2 linked regions of the Astyanax mexicanus genome follow. The protein of the gene in region 2 binds, or shares a complex with, the protein of the main gene of each other region. Links are inferred from orthologs where the notes say so. Each region holds a gene or a part of one and is shown on either strand. Other genes may lie near its edges. The genes, in order: mapkap1 and kras.

What was found.
Region 1: the proteins of kras (region 2) and mapkap1 are in contact, whole or in part, in a crystal structure (PDB 7LC1), measured with the Homo sapiens proteins. The link is inferred for Astyanax mexicanus from reciprocal best matches to the Homo sapiens genes KRAS and MAPKAP1. Residues at the interface, in NP_001356715.1 of Homo sapiens: Ile21, His27, Val29, Glu31, Asp33, Pro34, Ile36, Glu37, Asp38, Ser39, Tyr40, Arg41, Leu56, Glu62, Glu63, Tyr64, Ser65, Ala66, Met67, Asp69, Gln70; in NP_001006618.1 of Homo sapiens: Phe280, His287, Gly288, Phe289, Ser290, Leu291, Ile292, Gln293, Lys307, Lys310, Arg311, Arg312, Lys313, Gly314, Ser315, Phe363, Glu365, Ile369, Val374, Met377, Leu378, Ser380, His381, Tyr484, Glu487, Ser488.

Annotation. Positions count from the first base shown.
Region 1 is NC_064408.1:21,738,629-21,749,304, reverse strand, and holds the start of mapkap1 (target of rapamycin complex 2 subunit MAPKAP1), read left to right. Parts: upstream 1-5,809; 5' UTR 5,810-6,142; intron 6,143-8,804; 5' UTR 8,805-8,971; coding exon 8,972-9,245; intron 9,246-10,676. UniProt on the Homo sapiens protein: Component of the mechanistic target of rapamycin complex 2 (mTORC2), which transduces signals from growth factors to pathways involved in proliferation, cytoskeletal organization, lipogenesis and anabolic output.
Region 2 is NC_064409.1:62,222,690-62,232,992, reverse strand, and holds the start of kras (GTPase KRas), read right to left. Parts: upstream 4,560-10,303; 5' UTR 4,135-4,559; intron 4,129-4,134; exon of another isoform or gene 3,799-4,128; intron 1,367-3,798; 5' UTR 1,360-1,366; coding exon 1,249-1,359; intron 1-1,248. UniProt on the Homo sapiens protein: Ras proteins bind GDP/GTP and possess intrinsic GTPase activity. Plays an important role in the regulation of cell proliferation.

The sequences.
Region 1 (10,676 bases), on a different chromosome or scaffold from region 2:
GGAGAAGGACAGAGAACCATGCAGCAATAATAATCAGGTAGCTTTAGATAGTTCTGTAAGATTCTAAACTTTGCCCCAGGTTTAATTAGGCTGCTTGGTGAAGAATGTATCCTTTTGTTCGGTCAGTTCGCCTCAAACACTCCCTCCACGGAACTCAAGCAAAGAAATCCATCTTCAGATACATCTCCGAGAAGACCAGCATCCCAAAAACAAATATTTCCATTCCCTCTTTCCAGCTCAAGCGCAACAGAACGGATGAAATGGGTGGAATAAATGGAATGATCATGAAAAGCAGGCTCTTCTACTCTTCTTCCCACTGGATTCTCTCTTTCCATTAACAGGAAATAAAGCTGGTCTCATCCTCCGTGTATATCTGGAGATATGAAGCTGTATGAGCTCGCTGGGTGAAGACCCCAGTCTCACTGTTGCTCGATCTGCGCGGGCTGCTCTCTCTGTGTTAGATGGTTGATGGACGTAGAAGGCTCCGCCCCCTTGTGGTTGAATACATATAAGAGTTCGTCTACCCATTCCAGCAATCCAGCTCCTAAACCCAACACTACAGCATTTCAACAAACCACAAATACTGACCAACAAAACACCAATTCAATGATTAAATGAATGTACAGAACCTAGAAGTTCTACATTCATAGAACCAAGATTATCCAAACTATGAAGAAAAACTTATGAAATTACACCCTCTGGCCAAAAAAAGACTCCACCTGGATTTAAATAAGTAAATAATGTGGGGTTGATGCTGCAGTTGGTCAGGTCTAGATTCAACAACAGTATGTGCTGAAAGAATGAGGTCAGCTGACTACCTGAATAATTATACTGAATATAGACCAGGTTATTCCATCAATGGATTTTTTTCTTCCCTGATGGGACGGGCATATTCCAAGATAACAATGTCAAGATTCATGGGGCTGGAATTGTGAAAGAGTGGTTCAGGGAGTATGAGATCATCATTTTCACACATGGATTGAGAGTTCACCACAGAGTCCAGATCTTAACCTCATTGAGAATCTTTGGGATGTGCTGGAGAAGACTTTGTGCAGTGGTCAGACTCTACCATCATCAATGCTGATTTATTTTAAAAGTATAGGCACCTCCTGCATAGATGACAGTTTTGCACATCTTGGGTGGATTTTCTCAGTCAGTTTTATGAGGTAGAGTCACCTGAAATTCAGGCTTTCAGTTAACAGCTGTGCTGAACCTTTCAGGAGTTAATTATTAGAATTTCTTGTCCTCTTAAAGTGTTTGAGAGCATCAGTTGTAAAGTTGTGAAGAGGTAGAGTTGGTATGCAGTATTTGATTAATGTTTTAATCCATATTATATCAAGAAAAAACTAAAGTATCCTCTAGTGCAGTCACAAAGATCATCAAAAATGTTATGATGAAACTGGCTCTAATCAGGACTGCCACAGGAAAGGAAGAGCAAGAGTTATCTCTGTGGCACAGGATAAGTTCATCAGAGTTACCAGCCTTAGCAACCACAAGTTAACAGCACCCCAGATAAGAACTGTAAATGTGAACCTCCTGGCTTAACAATGCCTAATCCCATGATTGAGTACGTGGTTAGAAGGGTATAAAGCCCTCAAGCATTGAATGATGGTGCTCCATCCAAAACATCTGGGATAATTTTGGGGAGTTGAAGATGAGTTGGAATCAGGTTGAGATCATCCAAGGTACTGACCTCACTAAAGCTCTAGTCACTGAATTCAACAAAATCATCACAGCAATATTAAAAAATATATATATAATAGAAATCCTTCCCTGGACAGTAGAGAGTAGAGGCAATCCAACAAAAGCATGAAAAAACTCTTTTTATAAACTTACGATTTCAGAACAAACAATCAATTAGCAAGTGCCAAATTTCATAGGACTAGTTCTGTACCTCTTTACTTTAGCCATGTCCTATGGAAGCTAAAGAACACTGCACTGACCTGAAGCATATACAGCTCTGGAAAACATAGAGAGACTGCTTCAGTTTCGGAATCAGTTTCTCTGATTTTGCTACTTATAATTATATGTTTGAGTAAAATGAACATTGTTGTTTTATTCTATAAACTACGAACAACATTTCTCCCAAATTCCAAGTAAAAATATTGTAATTTGGAGCATGTATATGCAGAAAATTTGAAATGGCTGAAATAACAAAAAAGATGCAGTGCTTTCAGACCTAAATTCAAAATAATGCAAAGAAAATAAGTTCATATTCATAAAGTTCTAAGATTTCAGAAATCAATAATTGGTGGAATAACCCTGGATTTTAATCACAGTTTTAATGCATCTTGGCATTTTCTCCTCCACCAGTTTTACACACTGCTTTTGGATAATTTTATGCCACTTCTGTTGCAAAAATTCAAGCAGTTCACATTGGTTTATATTTTGATTATATTCCTGAGGTTTTTAAATGTGGTAAAATAGAAGAAACTCATCATTTTTAAGTGGGCTCTTATTTTTTACCATTCTAGCCAGACTTCGCTGGTCCCTTGTTACACATGTGACCATATACCATATTTGCAATATAAAATATTGCACTACTGTTATATACTATTTATACTGTCATTCCATCTCAATCACCACCAATATTGCACTATTGTCTTCCGTCTTCCGTATGTTTATTGTGTCTTGTTGTATTGTACATATAATGTCTCTTTTATATTATATATCTATTTCTTTTTTTTACTTATATTTATATATCTATTTCTCCCCCACACCACTGCACCTTGTTTTTGTCTCATGTATGTATATTTGTGTCCCTGCTGTATTGTACCCATAGTGTCTCCCATTCTCTTTTATTATATCTATTATCTGTACTTGCTGTAAAATTGGGAAGGAGAGTAACATCATTTCAATTCTTTGTATGTAGTGTACATATGCAGTATTGACAATAAAACTACTTGACTTGACTTGACACTGATTTCTTGTTTAAAAAATCAAAAACAGCAAACAGGTTGCTATTTCATAATGGTGTTTAAAATGAATATTGAATAAACAATGTTACACTGACCTATCCATCCTCCCACAAGCACACTGGTCAGTGTTCAACCTCACTTACAAGATGAGACCTCACAACTTATACAAATATATATACATTATGCCCATCACATGATTTTTGGCATGCCAGTTTATACAGGACCCTGCTCTATTTCCGTTATACAGGAATACATCTAATAGTTTTATTTGTCTGAGTCGGAGTGAGATCAGTTGGAAATATCTGAGACAAGTTTGTGATCAAAGTGAAAAACAGGCTGTTTCTCAAGAGCCGACCAGAAAAAGAAATTGTCCCCCACTGATTTAAAACAGGAGTTAACAAAATCTGGGAGGAGTAAATCAGATTAAGAGGAGCTCCTCATTTGGAACCATTCTTTCCTCTGGGAATATTTACTGTGTTAAACGGTGTAAATGAGATCTGCAGAAGCCGGCTCAGATAAAGCTGAACTCAGCTGGAGTTCACAGTGGAGAGATCTAACAGCATTAAGATATCATAAATGTACTCACCACTGTGTCACACCAGTGTAGTGTTGAGAGTGTGTATAGAGTGATATTGTCCTCTGAGCAGCTCCTGAGCAGGGTAATATATTTTATACTCACTGCCAGGAAACATCTGATCAGTACAGGTCTGAGAAGATCACACAAGAAACAAACCTAAGGATGCAATTTATTGTAGTTCTACACTTGAATGATTGTACCTCCAATTCTATATTTTACAGGATTATTTTAGACATTTGACACAATACTTGGGTATTTGTTTTATTAGAAACATTTATTCAAATAAATATCCAAGAGAAAACAATACCTCATCCTAATTACTCTTTACACCTGAGAGACAAAATTAGATTTTCCTCTTTTTCTCGTGTTATTGAGTTAAGTTTCCAAGCATTTAATCATATTGTTTCTACTTAAAAAAACACAAAGAACATCAGATCATTGCAAAATGACATTGTTCATAAAAAAAGCTATTTATCCTGGTGTAATATTAATCTACAATTCATCAGTCACAAAATAAATAATAAATAAATGTCCACGATTTCTGACTTTCACTGAATGATAGTGTGGCTCCACAATATATTTTTTAATTGCAGAACGTATTGCTTCTGACTTTTCCACCCCTGCCACCAAACACAGCCCTCTCGAAACCTATTCCACCTGTTCCACCCTCACAATAACTGCCTTCACAAGTTTTTGATGAACTGAATGAGGACTGTTAGGTTTGGACTGGACATAAAGCATGGTGATGGTAGTTCCTCTGCGGGTGAATTGGTGATATAGAAAACTATGATGTAACACACAGTAGTGAGAAGCCCTCAAAAAGCACATATCTAATCAGAAATATGTCTAAAAGCCCACAGTTTATGATCAGACCAGAACATAGCAGACTTAGCTAAAGAAGTTTATTAAAATAGAGTTAAATAATTATTTTTCTGTGAATATATTTTATTTTTTTATGCATATAACACTATTCAGGCTTTTTGTTCGGATTAGAAATAACATATTTGATATATTAATACAGATCTGTCAAACAGTCAAACAGACAATCTGTAAAATAAACCTGACCCATCACAAATGTCACTTGTAATCCAGACACATGAGCCTGTGCAAGGCGCTGTAGTAGCTTAAAGCAACAGCACCCTCTGCTGTCCATTCAGCGGCTCTACAGATGAGGCGAGTTCAAAAGTAACCATGGGAAGTAAAAAAAAAAATTATATGCTTTCACATAATATCTTTCAATTCATGTAATATCTGTTTTTGAAGTCAATTGTAAGATTTGCCAGGACTAACCATGATTTTCAAACTCAGTTTTTGAGTTTTTAACATCCAAATAATAATTATGGAACATTACATGGAACATTATTCCTGCCTTGTATTTAGCCTGTTTTGTGGTCTAAACAGTTTATATGTGTATATTTTCTGTTATTATTTAAATATTAGGGAATAATAAAACAAAAATAGCTAAATAAATGCAATGACTTATTTCAGCCATCATAGGAAATCTTGACTGTGAAACAAAATTGTATGCACATATGCAAAACTATCAAAATAAAGTGAATAATTTAAGTTAATAAATGTAAAAATATGATTGTTTACTTCAAATGATTTAAATTATTTTAAAAGAGATTTAATTTAGGTTTTAATGGGGATTTAATGGGTGCCATTTGTTTAATAACTGTAGGTGGAGAACATGCAAGGATGCAAAAAACTGTGATTAAAAACCAGGGTTATTCTACCAAATATTGATTTCTGAATTTCTGAAAATTTTATGAATATGAACTTGTTTTCTTTGCATTATTTGAGGTCTGAAAGCTCTGCATCTTTTTTGTTATTACAGCCATTTCTAATTTTCTGCAAATGCTCTAAATGACAATATTTTTATTTGGAATTTGGGAGAAATGTTGTCTGTAGTTTATAGAATAAAGCAACAACGTTCATTTTACTCAAACATTTACCTATAAATAGCAAAATCAGAGAAACATATTCAGAAACTGACGTGGTCTCTTATTTTCCAAGAGCTGCATACATTTTAGACAGCTATCAGTGTTGAGAGAGTAGTGTTGAGTAGCTACCAGTTAAAACTTTGGACACTGAATATGTTTTTTTAATTTCTTTATTTCATGTATTTTCTACATTGTATATTAATATTAAAGAAATGAAAAAGGTGTTTGTCCTCCACAGTCTCTGGACCTAAACATAACTGAGATGGGTGATTTATGATGAGCTGGACATTGGAATGAGCATAAAATGAAAGAAAACATCAAATGAGAAGTGGAGCCCACGTGCAGCACTGTTACATCACTATCAGCAGCAGTGCAGTGCAGCAAGCTTACTGTACACTTCAGTAGTGTGTAGTGAAGTAGCTACAGTACAGTACAGTACAGTAGGGTGGGCTTTTCTCGTGCTCCCCAGAGGGCGTTCCTGCGCGTCTCGTTGATGCATTACACTTCCTGTACGAGGGTAAACTTGACGGAAATAGCTAGCCCCTACCATTAGCTGTGATAACAACAGAGGAAATGCTGTATTATTACTGAGAGTATATGATACACATGAGAGGCGATGGGACGAGGCGTTTAGCAGCTATGGCTGTACTCCTGCTGTTACAGAGTGTGGATATATTCAGCAGTCGGTCTGGGAATGCATGAAGGTAATCTACGTTAGCTAACATTGGTTTGTTTAGCTAGCTAACTGGCTAGCTAGCTAGGCTTGGTCAGTAGACAAGTAGCTAGCTAGATAGGCTTGCCAAATAGCGTTAGACCAAGCCCTGTTATCTAGAAGCTAGCTAGCAATCCTAGCTAGCTAGTGGCTGTGTTTTAAGCTGTAACTAGGCAGCCATAGCTAACATTTGTTTACCAAAAAATGTCAGCAATTTTAGTAGCTAGCTAGCTAGCTAGATTAGCTAATCTAGTGGCTTTGTGTGAGCGTGTTCCTCTTCTAAATATGGGTAAATAAGCTAACTAATCCAGGTCCACAGAGTAACGTTAAGTTAAGTTACATGGGTTACCTACGCTACAAAAACATCCCAGGACTTTGTTAATAGATACCCTTACCTACCTTTTGGTTAGTTAACTACAACTTACTGGGCGGTTCTGCTGGAGGCTTGGTGTAAATAACCTAGCTAGCTAGCAGCTGTTATTTAACGTGATTAGCAGGGTTAAGTTAGTTAACCCTAACCATGTAACTAATGTGTTGTGTAGCTAACATATATGTTTATCTGTAGTTATATGCAGTTAGCTAGCTAGTTAACCTTTACCCCAAAAGAAACTTAGCTGCCAAATCCATGTCAAAAGTAGCTAAAACTCCTGTAAGCTATAACAGCTAGGTTACCAGCTGCCTCAACTGTACACAGTCATCCAGGCAGTTGGTATCTAGCTAGCAATGCTGGGTCAGTACACAAGTTAATATAGCTACCGTTAGCTAGCTAGTTTGCTAAATAGCATAAGACCAAGCCCTGTTAACTTAAAACTAGCATTAGCTAACCTAGCTAGGTTAGCTAGTAGCTGTGTTTTAAGCCGTAACTAGGCAGCCATAGCTAACATTTGTTTACAAAAAAAGATGAACTAGCTAACTAGCTCATCTAGTGGCTTGGCTTGGTGTAGGCTTGATGTAGATAAAATAGCGTTGTTTGCTAGCAGTTGTTATTTAACGCTAGCGTGGGTTAACTTAGTTAACCCTATCTTTCTAACCAGTGTGTTGTTTAGCTGTATATCTAGTTATCTAGCTAGTTAACCTTAAGTTTTGAGTGAAGTAGCTAAAACTCCTTCCCAGGATTTTGTAAGCTAACTAGCTAGGTTACCAGCTGCCTCAACTATACACAGAGTTATTCAGGCAGTTAGTAGTTAGTTAAGTTAGATAGTTAGTTATCTAGGTACAAAACCCTTTGTTTGCTTTCTACTTCCTCGGCCTGGTCTTCTAAACACCCCGATAAGCTAGCTAACTAACTCTAGCTAACCACCCAGCGCTAGCACAGTCTCACATCTTGCTATTTGTCCCAAAGCTAGCTAACTTACCCGCATTAGCTCGCTACATTTGTTTGTGTGCATGTTGGACCTGTAGGTTAAAAAAGTTGAGGGGACGTTCAGCTGGGAAACTGGACAAACGTGTAGATCAAACGTTAACACACACCAACTGATGAGTTCAGTTAGCTACATTCAGTTTCACATTCAGCTGTTTGCCTAGTAGCTAGTTAGCAAAGCTAGCTAGCCAGCCTGCTGTTTTAGCTTTCTAATCTTAGCAGTATTAGGAACAAGGCTAAAAAAACTGTTAATAAAGACAATAACGTTAAATGTAATAAAAATACAAAATAAAGATAGCCAGCTAACCACTGGGCTCTTAGTTAAAGCAAGCCTGTGAACTTGCATATGTATTTTAAGCTAACAGCTGCTAGCTAGGCTAGCTAACGCTTGTTGTCATGTTGTCTCTGGGCGTGAGCTGTTGTAAGAGTGCATCATCTGTTGTGTGCACATTTTCCAAGTTTTAGTTAAACAAGTTTTAATAATTAATTAATATTTGTTTGCTTTCAAAACTGAATTATTGGGTTATGAATGTTTATAATAATTATATTAATATATATTGACTCCAAAATATGCTCTTATTCTGGCTTGCTAGTTCTGGATGATATTTTGCCTCAGAAATTTGGGCTGTGTCTATCAGTTTTTAAGTTATGCTTGAAGTGTGCATTTGTTTTTTGGCAGTGATGTAAAAGTACTGTAATGCTGCTTTATTTTTTGTAGTTCAACAAGTGCCAGTTACCTGCATTGTATTCTATTCTATTTTGAGTGCTTTGCATTGTTTATAACAAACTATGGTTGTGATTCAGTGCTAGAAGTGTTGGATTTCTGTTTTTAGCATCTGAAAACCAGAAGTTGACTTGACCTTTAAGGTTATCTGATCTGACCTTTCACAACCTTTGTAAAAAGTGTGGAGTAATACAATGGAATGTTCATAAGCCTTAGCTCCCCAAATCGCTTGGCTAAAGTTTTTCTAAAGTATTATAATGACAACTCTTGTGTCATGTATTCTTGAAGAAGAACAAACTTGGCATCACTTGAGCATTAAGATAATGATCCTTTGACATTTTGAACACAGATCATAATAGAATATGACAAGCTTCTTTGTTAATAATGCACATTTAATAATGGCTAGGGGTAAGTGTCTACCAATAGGTATGATGCCCATCTTCATACTTTTTTTTTTCTTTTTTTTTTTATAAAGCAGCTAGTGTCGGATGACCCGAACTAAAATTGGGCATTTATAATAAGTATGAACATTTCATAAAATTAAATGTTGAATATTTTTCTTTTTCGCAGGCAGGCACACATGCTCCACCACAGAGAGCAACAATCAAACCCAAAAGGAAGAGGGTGTCACTGTTGAAGAAGGAGCAGCCTCAGATCTCAGTTAAGTGCCAGAGAATCCCCCACGTGAACAGGAGCGCGTGAGGAGTGGAGGGTGGCAGCAGGAGTTGCCACACAGGATGGCTTTCCTTGACAACCCCACCATCATACTGGCCCACATCCGGCAATCCCATGTAACCAGTGATGACTCGGGCATGTGTGAGATGGTGCTGATTGATCATGACGTGGACTTAGAGAAGTGCCATTCGGCTGCCGTGTCTACTGGCAGTGTATCAATGGGGGGGGTGTTAGGGGATGGGAGTGTTAGTGGAGACGGTCAGGCCTGTGACCTCTCTCAATCGATGGACATCACGTCCAGCTGGGACTTTGGAATCCGTCGGCGCTCCAACACAGGTAAGCGGCTGTGTAGATAGTCAGAGTGTGCTGGGTCCTGAATCTAGGGCATTGGCATATGGGTAACATTGGGGAAACATTGTTGGTGTGCTTTGATACAAGTTGATGCTGGTTAAAGGGAATTGAGGATAATAGGTAAAATACATTAATGAAATCTCTTGCAAATTAGTGTCATAATGTTGGCATTTATTTTTGTTGTAAACTGAGTAATCATGCTCCTCCCTCCGGATAATGATGGTTTATTTCCTTGCAATCAATAATTAATCTCAAGTTGATTTGGGTGTGGGTTAATGCTGGTTTTGTGTGTATGTTGAATAGCTTGGTGTGACTAAATAAGAAATAAACTTGCTCAGATTGACTTACTGCTATGAATCAGTCTATGTGGATGGCATGATTAAGCCTAATATCCTGCTAAATCATAATAAAACTTTTGCCTCTGTCTCAGAGATGCACTGATACAAATAGTTTTTTCTTTTTTTTGTGCATTGTGCATTACTGAGAACCAAACTTTAAAGCACCAACAGAGAGAATAAAGCTTCGGTTGTTTCCACTCTGGCCTTAGACCATATCTGGCATATACAATCTGATTATTTGATCTCACTGCTTGTCCAAGAATACATGTGTAAAGTGTGTCCTTTAAGACAGGCTCAGAGAGCTAATTACACTTGCTGTTTGTGGGGGAGTCCTAGAAAAAAGTAATAGTAAATTCTCCATAATGCCGCCATTTGAAATAGCCTCAACATTTCTTGAATTAAGGCCAAATAAATTGTATATCTCATATATCAATGCTGATGTATAAACATTTCTAAAATCTGGAAACTGGGGCTTTATCTACCTGGATTAACATCAAAGAAAACTATAGCAATTATTTCTATAGATGTTTAAATACAGTAAACTAAATAAACTGCAAATATAGTAGGCACTGTAGCCTTGAATTAGGGAGGTGGGAATCACAGGACATTTCACGATACATTATGATGAGATATAGCCCACAATAACAATGATATCACACAACAATCAAAACAATACAATCTCTTACAATATCAATAAATATCTGTTTGAAAACTGTTAAACTAATCTGTTCAGTGCTTATAATGATTACATTTGATATTATTATGATTCTACGGTTGCTTTCAGTATTGTTATCAGTGCATCTCGGTTCTCATTTCTCACTACACTAAACGCCTCTTCTTCTCCTCTGACATGGTTAAAACCAGACTTCTCTCATTTGACATCTAACTTAAATGCTGCACAGTGAATTAAAATAGCATACAGGCACAGCCATACTGTGAAAAAGTACTTTCCTCTTCTGATCTCTTCTTCTTTTTTTGCATATTCATCACACTCATATAATAAATATATACAACAGCAGCACCTTGTGTAACAAAATTGCTGATTTTAAATGATCATTTCATTTATTGGAAGGAAAAA
Region 2 (10,303 bases):
CTTGATCTTATTGAATTTTATCAAGCCAACATCTTAAATGCTATTCCTTTTACAGCATGGAAATTAATTAACTTTACTTTGACACTTCTCTGGCTGCCATTTTTTCAGGACAGTATTGAACTGTCAATAGCTCTCTATACCCTAGTCTACCAAACAGTGACCTCTCTTGCTAACGTCGCTGAAAGAATATTTGGAACACTACTTAAAAGGGAAGGGCTGTAAGAAACCATCTAACAATAAATTAATACATTAATACAAACATAAAATCAATGGTGAATATATGATTCACAGTATTACAAAAACTGCTAAATATGAATCCCAATAAAATAATCCCCCTTTTTTCTTCTCCATCCCACCATTACCCTTTGCCCTTCTAAAATGTTTTTCTTCTATGTCCTCTAAATGCAATGCACTGCACTGTACTGTACTGTAATATAAACTAGAATGCATATAAAAAACCTTTATACTTAATCTTATACTAATAATAGGAATAACTTAAGAGGCATAACTTGCTCATAAATGCATAGAAAATTGACATGTCTAACAGGCTGCATCCTCAAATACTGTCAATCTCAACATCCCAGACCATTAGATACTGCCCGCACTAATTGAGGAAGCCTATAAGACTGTATACAGCATTTCACAACAGTATCCCAACACAGCAACATCATAGCTTAAATAGATTAATTTCGATGAATAACATTGATAGAATACTCACTAAAATACGGCGAGGGCGCAGTGAAACATTATCTCCCAGTAGGTGTAAGCACAGATTAATAGATTACACTTGTGCTCTGAGAGCAACAGGTTATTTCTTAGTGCTTAAAAAAATACATCAATTACTCAGACACGTGCTACTGCATACTTAGACCAGGAAGTAAGGAACCAGTGGTGGCTGAAACTAGAAAAACCAGCTCAGTTTTTACACCACCATTATGTTTTCTATTAAGTTGTTTTCTCTTTGGGGTAGGATGATGGCATTTGGAGGTGGGAACAGTGGTAACACAGAATCTCAGCGAGCAACAACCACAAAGTATATCACAAAGCTCTGTAATTCCTATTTAGACTAGTATGTAAGTAATAAACTATGACATCTACACACAAGCAACGCAATGACCATTAAAATGAGTACTGACCTACAGCAGAATATAAATATCATCTTCCTACATTATACAAATATATCTTGACAATATAAGGTTGTGAAAGGTATGACTTTTAATGTATACTACATAATTAACCACAATTTACCTCTATAGTTGGGTCGTATTCATCCACAAAGTGGTTCTGGATGAGCTGGATGGTAAGAGCGCTCTTGCCCACACCTCCAGCACCCACCACCACCAATTTATACTCAGTCATTCTTCACCTGAAATGAACAAAGTACACAAAAACTATAGTCAGTAACATTCAGATTTACCACCAAAAAGCAATGCTTTAGACCCCACATTACATGGTTACCAATTTCTTAATTTTTTAAACTGGTACTTATGTTCAATTTAAGTGTTTACAGTGAGCTACCTTCAGGAGCCTCTGAAAACAGACCAGCTTTTGTAACTTCTTCACTACATTATGTCTTTCCTTTCCATTATAAACTTAAAATGCTGAGCTGTGCTGAATCACATGCACAGTTTACCACAGCACAACGCTCACTGAAAGGTGTCCAATGACTTCAGCAATCATAATTACAGTACTTGAATTTCAGTCGAGAAAGGACGGCTTAAATCATCGAGTAGTTCCCACACAGGTGATTTTTTACTGTGTGTGAGTCACACCAACGCAAACAGAGGTCTGGACTAAAAAAACTAGTCACACCACACTGTCTACAGCACATTTGGGAGTCACCAGCAAAAAAGAAAAAAAAATATTTATACCATTTGACCTTTACTCCAAATGTAATTAATCAGTCTGGACTTATGGGTGGCAGAAAAATGTAGTTGCTAATTTTAGTGCACAATTTGATGTATACATTAATAGAAAAGGCTTACTGTACACACCAAACAAGTCACAGCTGATTGACTACACTTAAGGGTAAAAGTGTAAATTTGACACTTGGGTGAGCCATTCCTTCAATCCAGACTGAGCCAAGAACCTTGGTTTAAGAATAATGTACGCCTTTATCGAAAGTTCTATATTTTTACGTACAGGTTAAAACTAATACTATATCAATATGATTTTCCACTGGACTCTTAAAAAGAGAAAGCAGCACTGACTGGTTTAAACTGTCTCAAACACAGGCCTAATCCTATCTGTATCTGGAGAGTCATCATGTTTGTCAATCATCCATTAAATAATTCCACACTTCCACACAAGATTATGGGAAATAGACAGTGTCTGTTGTGATCAGACTACAATGCACACAGGTCATCATTTGGAGACCAGGCCTTCGTTTTTAACTCTTGAATGACAATGGCTACGATTTTAAGCAACACTTAAAAACCAGCAAAGTCCTACAAACAAAGATGGCTAACCAGAGAAGAACATAAACCCAACACACCACCAACCACTTTTGTGGCCACTTTCAGAAGACAATAGAAAACAACTGTCAAAAACAAAGAAAAAGAAAACAAGGGGTATGTTAAGGGTTCTTTATCTAGCTAGTCAGAAGCTTTTGGTTGTTTCACCATCATCCATCATACAGATGCATGGCAATGTTCCTAAAGCAAGAACAAATTTTGTTTTCAAGAAAGGCATACGGATATCACGTTAAGTCCATTCTAAAGCATTAGACGCAGTAAAAGAACACAAACAGCAATGGAAAAACAGAAAAATCAATTCATTAATAAATAAAGTTAAATTAAGTCTCTGGCAGATACAATCTCAGAACATTGAAAGTAACTACAGCTTTAATCTGGGCCTTTACGTTTAATCGCGCAACATTTGTGAATGAAGAACTTTCCTAAAATCACCAAGAGTTCTAAAGAATCATTCGACTGTCTCCAATTAGATTTGAGACAAAAGGAAAACACTGAATTATTATTAGGAACACAATTTTTAAAGGCTGAGAAACTAATAAGCATAATCTTTCCCTCATTCCAAAACTCTGTTAAATCAAATGTAACAAATAAACGTATAAACCTTTTAGCTCCACTAAACAGAAAGGGAAAATATGACAAAGGTAAAACTTAAGTAAAAAAGTGCATATCTTTGACTTTGTTAGGAATAACTTAGAGGATCTATTAAGAAATAAGGTTTGTGTGTTACGTTTAACTAAGAGTTTATAAGTGTATCCATTTTTTGACTATTCGAGGCTTAATTTGAAATCTGAAATTGAGAGTAAAACCTCATTATTTCATTTTATTCATTTAGTATAGTAAAGCTTTTTTTTTTTGCTTCTCACAATCTGCATATTGTAACAATCAGTTTGGATTACACCATTTTCAATTTAAAAGCCAACAAGGTGAAAATGCATTTTTTAAGATGATACAGAAATAGAAAAAACTTGACGTACTGCCAATTCACTTATATTTTTTTATTTAAGAATTTAGCCTCAAACTGTCCGAAAATAGGCCCGATAAACGGTACACTGGTCAAACAGGGCCTGACTGACTGACTGGGGCGTTCTCGGGTAGCTATGGACGGTAGCTAAGCTAACCAGCTAGCCAGCTTGGCTAGTTAACTAGCTAGGTGGCTAAGCTAACCTACAGCCTCAACAGCTGAGCTAGCTTAGCTAGTTTACCAAAAACAATAGCTTGAGAGTTAGCATTTACAGCACTAAACACAACAGGCTCGAGTTCGGTCGTGCACACTGTAATTAGCCGTTACTGTTTTTTGTTTAGCGTTTCTGTAGCTAGTACCTACCTTCAGTGTTTTAGCTTAGCCGAGTTCCGCGTCCACGAATAATATTAGCCCAGCGTTCGAGCCCACAGCCTACAGTCCGCTCCTCAGACCCGAGCCGGTCATTGCTTCGAGGTTAGGTAGTTAACTAGCTAGCTAGTTTATCTCGATGCTGCGCCTGTGAAGCTGACTAGCTCACTAACCGCCTACCCGAGCCTATTTTCCGCAGCGGGGACTGTGGTGTTTTATTCCTCGGCCTGTTCGCTCGCTCGCTCGCTCCCTGCTCTCGACTGAGCTTCACACACAAAATATGGGCGGATACGGTGTGGCTGAGCGCAGCCCAGCGCTAAGATCACTTACCCAGGGAGCAGTGCACCACAGCACGGGCGGGCTTTCCTGGCTCGTTTCGGTACTTCCTAAAGGCTGGACGACAAGCCTAAAACGTGTACATGAGCTGCGCAGCCCTCTCGACCTGCTACTACTACTAATTCCAAGCCTCAGCTTGCATCTTTCATTCTGCACGCTGCTGCTGCCTTAAGGGCACACTGTGACCAGATCGATATCCCTTCAATAACAGGCGATGCAGAACAATGCAGCTCGACAGGGCGTCATCGGTTCATACTAACTTTTAAAAATAGCTTTTCAGAGCTTTTACAGACAACCCCCTTTAAATCACTGCAGGCTTGTCGGTGCAGCCTAACCAAACGAAGCAAAGCGAAAAGTCAGCACAGTGTTGTAACCGGCTTTTGACAAGCACCATTGTAAGCAGCGGGACGCTGAGTGTAGCCGAGCTTAAATAGGCCCTAAATATAACCGGGGACGTCTTGGACAGACGTCAGCCCCCATGCATGAATCTGATTGGCTGAACGCGCTATCGATCACGAGGCCGTGGGACCAATGCGTGTACCGCAACTGGGTTGTTCTAAAATAGTGTTGTTACTCTGCCTCATGTGGTTTCTTAAATATATCTGATTACTAATAAAATTTAAGATGTGCCATATAAATGAATACATCAAATATATCCAGCTTAATAGTTAGTAATTTGGCATTGTTAAAGTGTTAAACAATTTTGGCAGGTTCATTATATCACTCATAGAACTGGTAAAGTAGTGTTTTTTTTTTATTTTGGGAGCATATATTAATTAGTAGATTTTTAGCATTTTAGTGAATAATATAAATATAAACATACTTGTCAAGTTTTTTTTTTAGATAAAATATCATTTCAGGTGAAATAGTTTTGTTGCCTTTGTAAAACAGATGGAACATTATATTAAACTATAAATTCATCTTCGAAACAACAACAAACAAACTACACTCTATTAAATCTGTTAAAGCGTGTGTGTATATTCTTTTTTAAAATATTAAATATTTGTGTAACTATATTATCATTCTAGCAATATTATTATTTCTGTCTTGGGTACACTATTATATGCATGCACTTATATATATTGAATATAGATTGAATATATATTCAATCGTGTACTACATTCGTTTTCACAAAAAAAACGCACTGGGCCGAAACCTGCCCCTCCCACATGTTTATTAGTCGGACAGATGATGCTTACATTTTTTCAAAATTAGTGGATGAGCTATTTCCAGCTGCCTGAAAAACAACTGGGCTGACGGGGATGTCTCTAGTCAGTCTGAGGAATCCGTGCTGCTCCTTAGGACTGAACACTGAGAGAAGCTTCTGGAAATACTCTTATTGTTTACTCCGTTGAAGTTTCTTTATGTAATAGACCATGTGTAGCTGGTAGTCTCTCCTCGGGCATAAAATATAAATATTCACCATCCGCGTTGATCCATTTTAACTATTTTAAATAACAAAATATAAAACAAAAATATTATTATTATTATTATTATTATTATTATTATTATTATTATTATTATTATTATTATTATTATTATTATTATTATTATTATTTTAAGCACCCATAGCAGTTCCTGTATGAGGCACAGGGTGTCAGTATAAGCATTCACGTAAATCTAGTTAAAGCATAATCGAATATATCTTCATTTTAAATATAACGTATTATTCATCGGAAAGTTAACAGTAAATAGGTGTTGTCATGCAAAAAAGCATCTTTAATAAAGGCAGCTTTACAGTAAAATGAAAAAAAAAAAATCGTAACTGTCAATGTACAGAGGTTTTATATAGGATTTGTCATTTTGGAAAAATTCTATAAGTATATAAATATATATAAAAAAAAAAGCTGCCAGATGTAAATTAAGGAAAAATGGTTAAAACCAGAAAAGAAATAGATATGAGATATGCTGAGAAAACAAAAGCAGAAGAACTGTAAGGTGAAAGCAAAAAGTTGACAAAATTTAAAGATTATTTTAATCAAAATTTGTCTACTATGTACAATTTAAAGTAAAAACAAAAAATAACTCATTTTTTTTTAAATTTTAACTAAAATGTAACCTTGAAGACAAATTAATGTTTCAGATTTATCTTTCTGCCTTTTGAAAATGAGGTCATTTACTCTTTTAGCTTCAGTAACCAATATTTTGCCCAGGGGTAACAAAATTTTGCATATGTACTGATTAGCCAAGCCAGGTATTGGATTGGATTACAACCTAATAATAAAGAAGTGAAAATTAGTATGTGCCTGAGACCTGACTGCATACTAAGTTTTGCAGCAATTTGGGTGGTGTGATTTCTCACCAAAATGCACACTAACCAAAAGACCTAAGCTGTGTTTAAAAATGTGCACCCTATTACAGAAATTGTGCGCTATAGGGTGTGCTGTTTAAAATATTACAGTTAACAATTTTCTTCCCTGTATAGTTCACTATTAAACACTCGAAATGCAACGCGTAAAAATAACTAGCTAATTATTGTGATATTATTTTAGTTTTTTTTATTTGAGTGAATGTGTTTAAGGTCCAAATATTAAAAAAAAAAAACATAAACTAGTAACAAAACTGACTTTAGCATCTGATATGTCCTGTTGTTGGAGTGGGAAGATCTGGATAAGGTTGTGCAATCTTATTCGTAAACAGAGAGTGGGCTGCAGTGGGGGCTTCATGCTCTCACGTAACAAACAGCCTGTGAGACTTAAAACTTACATAGCTAGCTGCATTTCCTAATTTAAACACACACACACACACATTATTTTTTCCAGCATGGCCCATGGCTGTAAATGATAAATCAGTACACCCACAGCAGCGTTAAAGATGTAGTTTTAAGGGGCAGAGATTTTTCTGTGCTGGGTCTCTGACTCTCGAGTGTGTCTTTAAAAGAGTCCAGCATGCTTTGCGCTGTGTCCATTCCCGTGCTGAGGGGCTGTGGGGGTGTTTTCCCCTCTCGCTGCCTCTCTGAGCTGCTCGCAGTGAAAACTTCCCCCCCTGCGGGACAGAAAGAGAGAGAGACTATCTGACTGCAGCGCTCCGCACTCCACTCTCACTCCAGCCGCTCCTCTGCTGCAGGAAACACTCCCAGCTTTTCTCCTCCTGCTGCTGCTGTAGAGCAGTTCAGACGGATATCCCGCTCCGGATAGACAGAGAGAGAGAGAGCTGTGCTCTGTAGAATGAACAGCGCGCTTTCTCCAGGAGAAAACTTCAGAGGAGGTCGCCAGCGGACAGTCCGAGCAGTCTGAGGAGGAGCAGAGCTGCGTGTTTACAGTATTAAGGTAAGAATACACTACCCCGTCTTGTGTCTCTCACAGCTATTACCAGTTTTAACCTGGACAAAACACGAAAAAAACGAGAAGAATCGAAAACAAACTTACTGAACCGTTTTAAAAACAACATCACTGGATTTATACTGAGTCTAAATCTTACCAGTTTCTAAAGTTTACCCGCCTCACTGTTTCACACTGTATAATCTGAAGTCAGTGTAGTTTAACTGACCTCACTGATTCACTAGTTTAGTTTAGTGCTCATTTATTGACTTCAGTATGGAAAAAAACAGTTGACAGTCTGAATTTACCCTCACTAAACAGCTTCATGTTTTACTGTTGAACGAAAGGAGTGACCTACAAGATGAGAACAGGGGAGTGACATAGCTTAGTTAACTAATAAGAAAAGAAGGAGTGACACAAGGAGTCAGAAAATATAGCTTAAAGAAAGAAATGACATTAGGAGTGATATATAAAATAGTGAGATATTATAAAGAAGTGAGATGTTTAAGGGGGAAAAAACGCAAAAAAAAAACTGCATGGGATATAATAGGGCTGGGAGGTTATTTACTGATTAAATGCAACTTTTTTTCAAAATTGGATAATCAAGATTGCACATCTTTATATATAGAGGAAATCTCAGTAGATAAACATTATCTTCCTTCAGAAACCTGTAAAGAACTCTTGTGGCACCTCATTTAGGATCAAAGCTAAATCAAAGGTAAAGAAAACAATAGCTTGCACATCACTTTAAATTGTGCTGTCTGTTTCCATTTGATGTCATGTAAGAACTAAAATCATAATCAAGGATCACTCTCTTTTAAAAAAAAAACAGCCCCAAAATAAAAAATATTTGGCATAAGTAGAGAGTATGTAAGGGATGCCCTAGGATACAAGGGAAAAGGTGTGACCCATGGAGTGAGATAAAATGAGTGATATAAGTAGAGTGAGAAAAAAGAGCAAATTTGATTCACATAAAGGAAAGGGATATACGTAGTGAAATAAAAACAAATGCTGGCACAAGGGTTGTGACAAAATAAGTGAGGTGTAAGGATTGTCCCCTAAGGTCTGAAAGAAAAAGGGGAGACCCGTGTAGGGTTACAAAAAAGGTGTGAGGTGTGCCCTAAAGAAAAATAACATAAGGAGTGCAGTACAAGAACAGTAATATAAGGAGTTACATATGGAGTGATAAAAGAAGTGCCACTGAATGAGATACAGGATGTGCCAAAGTAAGTAAAAAGGTAATATAATTAGTGAAAATAGTATCATAATGAGTGTGACAAATGGAGTGCAGTACAAGCAATGAGAGTGGCGAGGAGTCCAATAAAGAAATTGCTGAAGGGAGTGAAAAGATGTGATGAAAATAGTGCTACAAGCAGTGAGACAAAGAAATTGCATAAGGGGTGTAACTAAAGGATTGAGGTACAAGGGCTGCCCCAAGGAATGAGAGAGAGGAGTGACCCATGGAGTACGATATAAGGGGGGCAAAAAGGGTGAGAACAAGTAGTGACATAATGTGTAATTAAAGGTGCATGATAAAAGGAATGACATAAGAGTGAAACAGTGTTATAAAGAGTGACATAAGGAGTGAGACAACAGGGAGGATTGTATTGTATTTTTTTGCTCTTGAATCTTTTAATTGTTTACTTGTTAGAGAACATTAGTTTTTAACATGAGTTCATGATTGTTGACTGATTAGGTGTGCAATATGTTACAGTTTTATACAAGATATATTACTATATGTTACAATACACCAGATATAAAAATGGCCATATTTTATTATTACGCCTGCTGCACAGGGTACCATATTTTTGCAATTTAACTCATACTTTGGTTGTTGGGATGCCAGTGGTTAGGGTTCTGAAGGAATTACATTTAACATAGTACAGTCTTGTGCAAATTATGTCGTAAAACATTGTGATTTAAGGAACAGCATGATGACTTTATTTTTTACTATATCAGACAACATAATTTAGTGCTGTTTGTGCAGTCTGACATACCACAAAGAGTGCAGTTGTGTTATATTTAAAACTAAATTTATATATATTTCTTAGATACACCGTTAGGTTCTTCACTGTTAATATCTACAATGTGTTTTTGGTGTAAAAAAAAAACCAATGCTGACAATTTACTATTATATTCTGTTATAATATTCATCATGTATCATATCGCCTATCACCATTTCTTATTTTTAGTTATATCGCTCAGTTCTCTGATTGCTAGGCTGTGTCTGGCTCTGATATCTAGTCAGTCCTGTTATTTTTTGAGAATTCTGAGGTGCTCTCAAAAACATATGAGTTTTATGAGTTACTGCTTAGAGAGATGAGATCAGAGAATATAAATATTAACCATATGGACAAACCTAGCACCTTAACGCTTCATCCAACAGCACTGTTTCTCCAGAAGGCTGGTGCTTTAAAACTTGCCTGCCATTCACTATCATGGCAAATGAACAAAGGCGGCATTATATCCAGCTAAACGTGCCATCCAGATGTTAGCTGGTCTGCCAGTTCTGACCTCCTAACTTGGGGGGGAGGCTATTCTTGAGTTTATTAAAACATCCTAGCCAAGACGGGATTCCAGAAACTCTGAAAAAGGTTTACAAGAGCCAAGGCAGAGCTCTGCGGTTTAATACCACAGAAGGTGAGCTGGCCTTGCCTGGAAAAGACTTCTGTTTAAAATGGCTTTTGCAAGATATAGGGGGAGGGGTTGTGTTTCATTTGTATTTGTAAAAAATTATTTCATCTGATAGTGGTCAGATTTTCTAATGCATAAAGTCAGCACTGAATCACCATCACACAGTTACAAGCTTTACATTTCCATACTTAAAATATTTATATTCATTTGACCTAAAATTAAAATCTAATGTCATAATGTTTTGTGATGCTATCAGTGATACTAAGTTC